Xenopus tropicalis: one gene and its partner. The protein of the gene in region 2 purifies or fractionates together with the protein of the main gene of each other region. This does not show direct contact. Links are inferred from orthologs where the notes say so. Each region holds a gene or a part of one and is shown on either strand. Other genes may lie near its edges.

Region 1 (3,817 bases), about 140 Mb from region 2:
GATGGACTTGGGGAGGGGTGTTTTCCTATTGCTATGATCGCAGGCACTATAGGGGTAATGCTCCTGGGCTGCTCTCCTTCCCATGGTATGGGTGTGGGATGGACTTGGGGAGGGTGTTTTCCTATTGAAATGATCGCAGGCACTATAGGGGTAATGCTCCTGGGCTGCTCTCCTTCCCGTGGTATAGGTGTGGGATGGACTTGGTTAGGGTGTTTTCCTACTGCACTGATCTTAGGCAGTATAGGGGAAATGCTCCTGGGCTGCTCTCCTTCCCATGGTATAGGTGTGGGATGGACTTGGGGAGGGTGTTTTCCTATTGCAATGATCGCAGGCACTATAGGGGTAATGCTCCTGGGCTGCTCTCCCTCCCGTGGTATAGGTGTGGGATGAACTTGGTGAGGGTGTTTTTCTATTGCAATGATCACAGGCACTATAGGGGTAATGCTCCTGGGCTGCTCTCCCTCCCGTGGTATAGGTGTGGGATGAACTTGGTGAGGGTGTTTTTCTATTGCAATGATCACAGGCAGTATAGCGGTAATGCTCCTTGGCTGCTCACCTTTCCATAGTATAGGTGTGGGATATGCTATAAGTGTGGGTAATGCTGCTTGGCTGCTCTCCTTCCAATGGTATAGGTGTGGGATGGGCTTGGTGAGGGTGCCTGTATATGTAAATCCAGTTGTCCTCACTACTAACCCTCCTGCCCTTTGGCTGCTCTCCTTCCAGTGGTATAGGTGTGGGATGGGCTTTTCCTATTGCACTAGGATCACTTCCCTTATTTGTTTTGTAAGAGACAGACCACATGGGGTTAATTTAAAATAACTCCATTATTATAAGGTCCCATCCCCTTGTCATTTCGGGTCACTGTGTACAAAACAGACAAAATACAATCTGGAATATGGGGACCTCCTGCGGCTTTTCTGTTTATTTTAAAGGGATGAGTACAGTTGGCGTGAGAAGGAAATACATTCCAGCAGCAGCAGCGCCAAACGACTCCCTAATTGTGAGCAGAGCCCCGCTGAATGTCCCTACCCCAAGGAAATGTCACGCTCTGCACCAGCATCGGGACACCCTAGGCTGTGGTTTTAATTAATCCGAAACGAGCGCACATTGCATGGTGATTCACTGGAGAAGGAAGATGCCGCTTGGCAGAATAAAGGGCACAGGGATCCAGGACAGAGGAACGGAAAGTAAAATCAAAGGGGAACTCCACCCTAATGAAGAAAAAAATGTCATTCCAAGCATCTTTGCCGTAGCAATGGAATTGCTATTAAGAGCAGCGTCTGTCTGCACTGCTGGTTCTGACTCTTGTAGACTGTAGTGTAGTCAGAAGTCAATTCACCAGACCTGTAAGGTTCAGGGATGCGCCAAATACACTATTTTAGGAATTAGCCAAACCCCCCCCAATCCTTTGTGAACTATTTGGCTGAATACCGAACTGATTCCGAATCCTAATTTAGGTTTAAAAAGAACCGTGTTTGTGCAACAAAAAAAGTCAGGTGATTTTCAGGATTCACAATCCGTTCCACCAGAGCCTAAAGGTCCCCATACACGGGCAGATCCGCTCGCTTGGCGATGTCACCAAGCGAGCGGATCTTCTCCCGATATCCCCCACCTACGGGCACACAGAGCGATACTATGGCGACACTATGGCACCTCCCTCCCATATGTATAAATACAAATATACAACAACGTTGTTGGAAAACAATATTACTGCACATTTCTGTCTAGGAGAAGAGAACGTCAGATAAATCACCGCTTATTATCAGAGATGCAGAGCTCTCTATCAAATTTCTCCCTAATTGCCAGTGAATAAGTAATGTGTGACCCAGATCTCAGGCTGAAAGTGTGGTACCAAGAGTCCTGTGCAGATAGATGGCATTGGCAGATAAGCCCTCCATTAGTGGCGCTAAGTCGAGCCATACAAAAATGCACTGGATTAGTTTAAACATATTACATACATATATATATATATATTTTTCTTAGGCTTTTCTTTATCTGAAAAGAAAGAAAAAACAGACCGCGCTGCTGTACAGAGATAAAGCCTTTCTGTAGTGCTCCGGTGGTCTGTGTGGGATATATTTAACCCTGTCTGAAGCAATAACAAATGAGGTGGAAATGGACAATTCCCCCCCTCATGAGATTTAGCTGGTACATAAATAGACAATGACTCTGTAACCCGGTGCCGGGATACAATTGGCTGCTTCAGATCTGGGGTCTTAAATCTCCGCTGGGGCCCAGGAATAGTGGTGGCTGTAAAGGACAAGATAAATGGAATACGTAGAAGTAGAATTTAATCTGCACCTGGGCTGCTCTCTTTCCTCTGTTCAGACTCCGGGGGACTGGACTTGGGCTTGACTAGATTTTTGCCTTTACACCGATCTCTATGGGCAATATAAAGCGATTTGATGAAGCCTCAGGCCCGGACTGGCAATCTGTGGGTTCTGGCAAATGCCAGAGAGGCTGTTGTAAGATGCCATAGACAGTCCGGACCCAAACACCAACAGACATGAATGTTATGGCAAAAGCACCTTGTCTCAGCCAGAACAAGCCCTTTCTGGCCAACAGGAAGGAGAGCAGCCCAAGAGCAGAAGGTACATAGAACAGGGTTGGACTGGACCACTGCCTTTCTCCCATTTTGCTGCCTGGGGTCTGCGGGCCCCATCCCCTACTGCTGGCCTGGATCTGTGGGGCCCCACACCCCCCTGCTGGCCTGGATCTGTGGGCCCCCACACCCCCCTGCTGGCCTGGATCTGTGGGCCCCCACACTCCCCTGCTGGCCTGGAAGAGAGAAGAGGCACGCGTGGAGTGGAAAATTGCGATGGGATACAGAGGGAGTTTGTGAAGGTGGTGGGCCCTTAAAGTGGCAGCCCCAGCGGGCCCTGGGCTCCCCAGTCCAACACCGACAGAGAACAAGGTGTAACTAGTCAATTTCGTGGCCGCCACATCTGCTGTGGGTGCAGTGCAGCGGCAGTTTGTAAGTTTAAAGGGCAACTAAAGCTAAAACAAAGAATTAGACGAAGATACTAGGGTTCAGTATACAGCTGTAGAACCCATTATCCAGAATTCTCGGGACCTGGGGTTTTCTGAATAAGGGCTCTTTCCATAATTTGGATCTTCATACCTTAAGCCTGCTAATTTAAAAATGAATTAAACCCAATAGAATCATTGCCCCTAACTAAGGATTAGTTATATCTTAGTCGAGATCAATTAGAAATTTTAAAATTTTGAATTATTTCATTAAATTTGATTCTATGGGAGACAGCCTTCCCGTAATTCTGAGCTTTCTGGATACAGGTTTCCTGATAAGGTATCCCATACCTGTAGAAAATATAGAATTTCCAGCCATATTCTTTTATAGGGTTTAGTTCCCCATTGAGTTATTTTTACATGGAGGCCCCGATACCGACCTTTGGCCAGCTCCTTCCTCAGTCGCATCACGGCTCCCATGTCGCAGTCGGTCGTGGCATAGGCGTGAGGGATGCTGGATTTGGATTCCATTAGCCTCTTGGCTATCACTTTTCGGATGTTGCTGGCTGGTATTTCAGAAAACATGCCCTGAAAGGGAATTTTCAGAAGGTGGTTACCCGGAACGCGCCCGCACCGGTGCTTTTAATGCGCTACAGGCTGCAGCAGGGTGCAGGACATGGGAATTTATATAAAGCAATCTGTATAAATAGCATTTATGTCAGCACACAGCACTCATACAGCCCAATATTGCCCCACAGCTGGATGTACTTACCTCTGTATGGGGCTTTCCAGGGATGGACATGGGGGGAAAGAATGGACGGCCTGAGACAGGCGCTGGAGCCGCTGCAGG
Region 2 (4,543 bases):
GCATACCAAGCGGCAAAGCACTGCGAGTGCTGAGCTGCCACCCCGGCCGACGCGCCGTTGGGTCCCCTGAAGACTATGGGGACTGGAACAAGCCCAGCGGACATATAGTAGGTCTTGGCAGCAGAGTTGATCACCTGGTCGATGGCTTGCATGGAGAAGTTAAAGGTCATAAACTCACAGATGGGCCTTAGGCCAGCCTGTGTATAATCAGCACAATCACATCAGGGAACAGCCAAACTGAATTATAAATACTGTGGGAAAAGTGAGTTGTATCATGTACGTACCATGGCAGCACCTACAGCGATTCCAGCAAAGCCCATCTATAGAGAACAAACACAGGATCATTATTTAAACTCAGGGTCGGACTGGGCCGCCGGGACACTGGGAAAAATCCCGGCAGCCCAGACCCGACCCTTGCTGTGCTCCCTCTACCTGACTGCTCCTCCCCTGACGCGTTAAATTTACACGCGGTCAGGGGAGGATGCTGGGTGGGGGCCCCTGCGGGGGCTTAGGGGGGCCCCTGCGAGGGGGGGTTAGGGGACGCGGCTGGTGGGGGCACCTGCAGGGCACTGCACTCCCCAGTCCAACCCTGTTTCAACTGCAGGAGCCCATGGACAGAACAACAGACAAGTAAGAAATAATGTAAGACAGACTGCTGTACTTCAGAGCATTATATCCTAGAGCTGCACTGCCCAAATGTTACTTCTTAGTAGGGCCAGATAAGTCAAGGCCAAACGCATGGGCCGATGCTGACTTTAGCTACTTGTGATCAATCGCATCCAGTTAGTTGGCAAAAGCAATTCTATTGGTTCTTTCCATGGACATTCTGTCAGTCACTGGCAGCCAATATAAGCCCAAAGCTTATGGATCAGGGTTAGTACCTCAGACCCACAGCATTTATATATCTTTCATGTACAGGTTCATACCTCAGATATGGGAGTATCCATAACTCTCTTGTCCCCATACTTTTTCCAGAGCCCCCGACTGATCTGAAATGTAGACAGGGATTAGACTTTACATTTGAGCATTTCCATGTTTAACGTTAAGGAAATGGTACCTTATAGGCTCCATCATACTGGGCCACCTCCTCCCCGAGCAGGAACACCCTTTCATCCCTCTCGATTTCTTCATCTATAGCCTGGTTCAATGCATCCCGTACAGTCACCTGCAAACACACACAATTCCGTGCACCTCGTTAGTAAACACCAAGCAATATGAAAAGCATCGTTCCTAATTATCTGAGAAAGCAAGAACCTGATCTGGGCCCAATCCCATGGGTTTATTCTATACCTCATACTTTGTCTCTGCTGCAAACTGCTCACAGCCCCATCATGTTTCCCCCAAGGAGCCATCAGCAACAGATCCCTGAATGATTTTATTTCCAGCTAAAATTGTAAGTGCAGTACTTGTGTTTAAATAAATGTGCCGATGTGGTTTTACACAATGGGAGCGCGCCCCTTCTTTTATATTTATTTGTAGATTTCTGCCTGTTTGGGACCAGCAGATTAAGGCGGCAGCACCCCATCATGAACATTTATCAGAGCCATCAAATTACTTGGAGCATTTGGACTTTGTTTTTATGTATTCTGGCTTTAGTTTATAACACCAGTAAGCACTCAGTGCCGGATTTCCGTTTGGGGAGCCCCAATGGCTGCCCCACTCTCTGCCCCCCAGAACTACGTGCATCATTTTCGCTCACGTACGGAGCACTGGGGGACAGGACTCACTGAAGGTTTCTGCGCATCCCGTTTCCAGTGCTCCATATGTGAGCAAATTTCACTTGTGGCTGGGCAGCATGCCACCCATACATTTATACCGCCCTAGGCCCAGGCCTTTGTGGCCACGCCCCCTTTTGAACATACATAATCCTTACAGAGTCCTGTAAGACAAGGGCTTCCTTTAGATCTACACAGGCTGTCCAAAACCAAAAAGCAGAAGGCCTTTTTCCTCTCACGAGCAACAGTCAAATGTAAAAAGACTTGGAGAGCAACACAAGCACCATAAAAGTTCATGGAGGAGCCAAATAAGGGCTGTGATTGGCTATTAGGGGCCTCTATGCACCCTATCAGCTTACAGGGGGCTTTATTTGGTAGGAAATCTTGTTTTTATTCAACCAAAACTTGCCCCCAAGTCAGGAATTCAAAAATAACTCCCTGGTTTGGGGGCACTGAGAGCAACACCCAAGGGGTTGGGGAGCAACATGTTACCCCTGAGCCACTGGTTGGGGATCACTGGGCTAGACAAAGGGGTTACTTACATAGTAAGTTAGGTTGAAAAAAGACATACCTCCACAGCACCAGATTTGTCTTGCCCCTAGGCCGCCCCCATTCACAGCTCTCACAGTAATTAATCCTTTCCCATTTTTTTAAACTGAACCTTAACCCTTAAGCGCCTCGTCTCCATTGTAAACTTGCCCAATGTGGCCAATGACACTGCAACTCATTATTACACAGAGAATTCACAAAGATCATTAAACATAACTGCCATTGGAGTCAGTGTCTGTCTGGCTGTTCCAACCGCTGAACCAATGGCACAAAAACCAGATGATTAAAGGACAACTAGTACTATATTGTACTTATGTGGTCACTTGGTTCCCATGACAACCTCTGTGCAGGGGAATAGGGGAAGGTCACAGTGGGGGTCAGGGCTGGGCTGTCATTGGTTCAATGGAGTGACTGACAGCTCTGCCTCCCAATAGGCTCCGCAGAAGGGTTATACAGCCAGTGCAGCCGAGTCCCAGCAGACACTAGGGAGCAGCGGACTCTCCCAGCCCCACACCGAGCACAGGAGACCGGCTAAGGTACTAGGGGTTACCTGCAGGGCGGCCGGGGTGCTTCTGTGGAAGCTTCTCTTCAGAAACACGGACACCGAGCTCTGCAGAAGACAAGGGAAAGTGAAGCATTTAGTATCCATACAGAATAAAGGCAAAGGTCCCACCTGGCCCGAACTCTTAGTCTCTTTACCTTCCCTCCGCAGAACAAGCTCCTGAGGGCGGCCATCTTACTTCTGTCCTCTGGACAAAACGTCGCCCTTCGCGAACGCCTCTGCCAATAAAAATCCGCTCTCGGCGCTAGGCGGTCACCTGACGCAGCGCGACCAATGAAAAGCAAGGCGTGACTGTATTTCTGCGATAAACTTGACACGGCCCCGCCTACACAGAGCTTGTAAAGCGGGGAGGGAATGTTGCTGTGCAACAACCAATCAGTAGCGTGGGTTTGGGGGACGTGGAAGGGTAGTCGTGAGGGACAATTTTTTTAGTAAGTAATCCTTGTCGCCTTACGGGAGAAGGCTGCGAATGGGATGATTCATGCGAAGGGTGTGCGAGTGGGTAGGTATGAGGGTTTGGGGAGAGGCCAAGGCGGAATTACTGGGGCGGGGGGGGGGAGGCTTGGGGAGCACTAGCTGCTACATGTGCGGCCCGGGTACCGCTCGGAGCGTAATATCTCCGCTCAGCTGGGGGTTGTGCAATGACACTGAGGCCCCGGCAGGGGGGATGGAGCGGCCCGCCAGCTTTACTTCTATCATGTGGGCAGCACCGGGGTATTGGGCAGTGCGGTAATGACTGACCCCCCCCCCCCCCCCCCCTGTATAAAGCTTGGGCCGGGTACATTACTGGGGGGGGTGATAAAGTGACGTGTGTGGCACAAGCGCAGCGATACCGTGAGATATGGGGCTGCGGGGGGGGGGGGGATAATAATACAGGGGTGCGATGGGGTTAATACAGGGGTGCAGAGGGGGTAGGTAATACAGGGGTGTATAGAGGGGGTAGGTAATACAGGGGTGTATAGAGGGGGTAGGTAATACAGGGGTGCATAGAGGGGGTAGGTAATACAGGGGTGCAGAGGGGGTAGGTAATACAGGGGTGCAGAGGGGGTAGGTAATACAGGGGTGTATAGAGGGGGTAGGTAATACAGGGGTGTATAGAGGGGGTAGGTAATACAGGGGTGCATAGAGGGAGTAGGTAATACAGGGGTGTATAGAGGGGGTAGGTAATACAGGGGTGTATAGAGGGGGTAGGTAATACAGGGGTATATAGAGGGGGTAGGTAATACAGGGGTGCAGAGGGGGTAGGTAATACAGGGGTGCAGAGGGGGTAGGTAATACAGGGGTGCAGAGGGGGTAGGTAATACAGGGGTGCAGAGGGAGTAGGTAATACAGGGGTGCAGAGGGGGTAGGTAATACAGGGGTGCATAGAGGGGGTAGGTAATACAGGGGTGTAGAGGGGGTAGGTAATACAGGGGTGTATTGAGGGGGTAGGTAATACAGGGGTGCATAGAGGGGGTAGGTAATACAGGGGTGTAGAGGGGGTAGGTAATACAGGGGTGTAGAGGGGGTAGGTAATACAGGGGTGCATAGAGGGGGTAGGTAATACAGGGGTGCAGAGGGGGTAGGTAATACAGGGGTGCAGAGGGGGTAGGTAATACAGGGGTGCAGAGGGGGTAGGTAATACAGGGGTGCAGAGGGAGTAGGTAATACAGGGGTGCAGAGGGGGTAGGTAATACAGGGGTGCATAGAGGGGGTAGGTAATACAGGGGTGTAGAGG

The links.
Region 1: the proteins of pdhb (region 2) and pdhx purify together in Homo sapiens (affinity purification with mass spectrometry; 4 studies listed by BioGRID and IntAct, counting the BioPlex papers as one, with this or other methods). This does not show direct contact. The link is inferred for Xenopus tropicalis from reciprocal best matches to the Homo sapiens genes PDHB and PDHX.

The regions. Positions count from the first base shown.
Region 1 is NC_030680.2:11,153,674-11,157,490, forward strand, and holds part of pdhx (pyruvate dehydrogenase protein X component, mitochondrial), read right to left. Parts: coding exon 3,740-3,817; intron 3,556-3,739; coding exon 3,408-3,555; intron 1-3,407.
Region 2 is NC_030680.2:148,527,695-148,532,237, forward strand, and holds the start of pdhb (pyruvate dehydrogenase E1 component subunit beta, mitochondrial), read right to left. Parts: upstream 3,012-4,543; 5' UTR 3,000-3,011; coding exon 2,964-2,999; intron 2,875-2,963; coding exon 2,815-2,874; intron 1,166-2,814; coding exon 1,058-1,165; intron 990-1,057; coding exon 927-989; intron 321-926; coding exon 285-320; intron 198-284; coding exon 1-197. Other genes in the region: BTB/POZ domain-containing protein KCTD6, read left to right, coding at 3,301-3,328. UniProt on the Homo sapiens protein: The pyruvate dehydrogenase complex catalyzes the overall conversion of pyruvate to acetyl-CoA and CO(2), and thereby links the glycolytic pathway to the tricarboxylic cycle.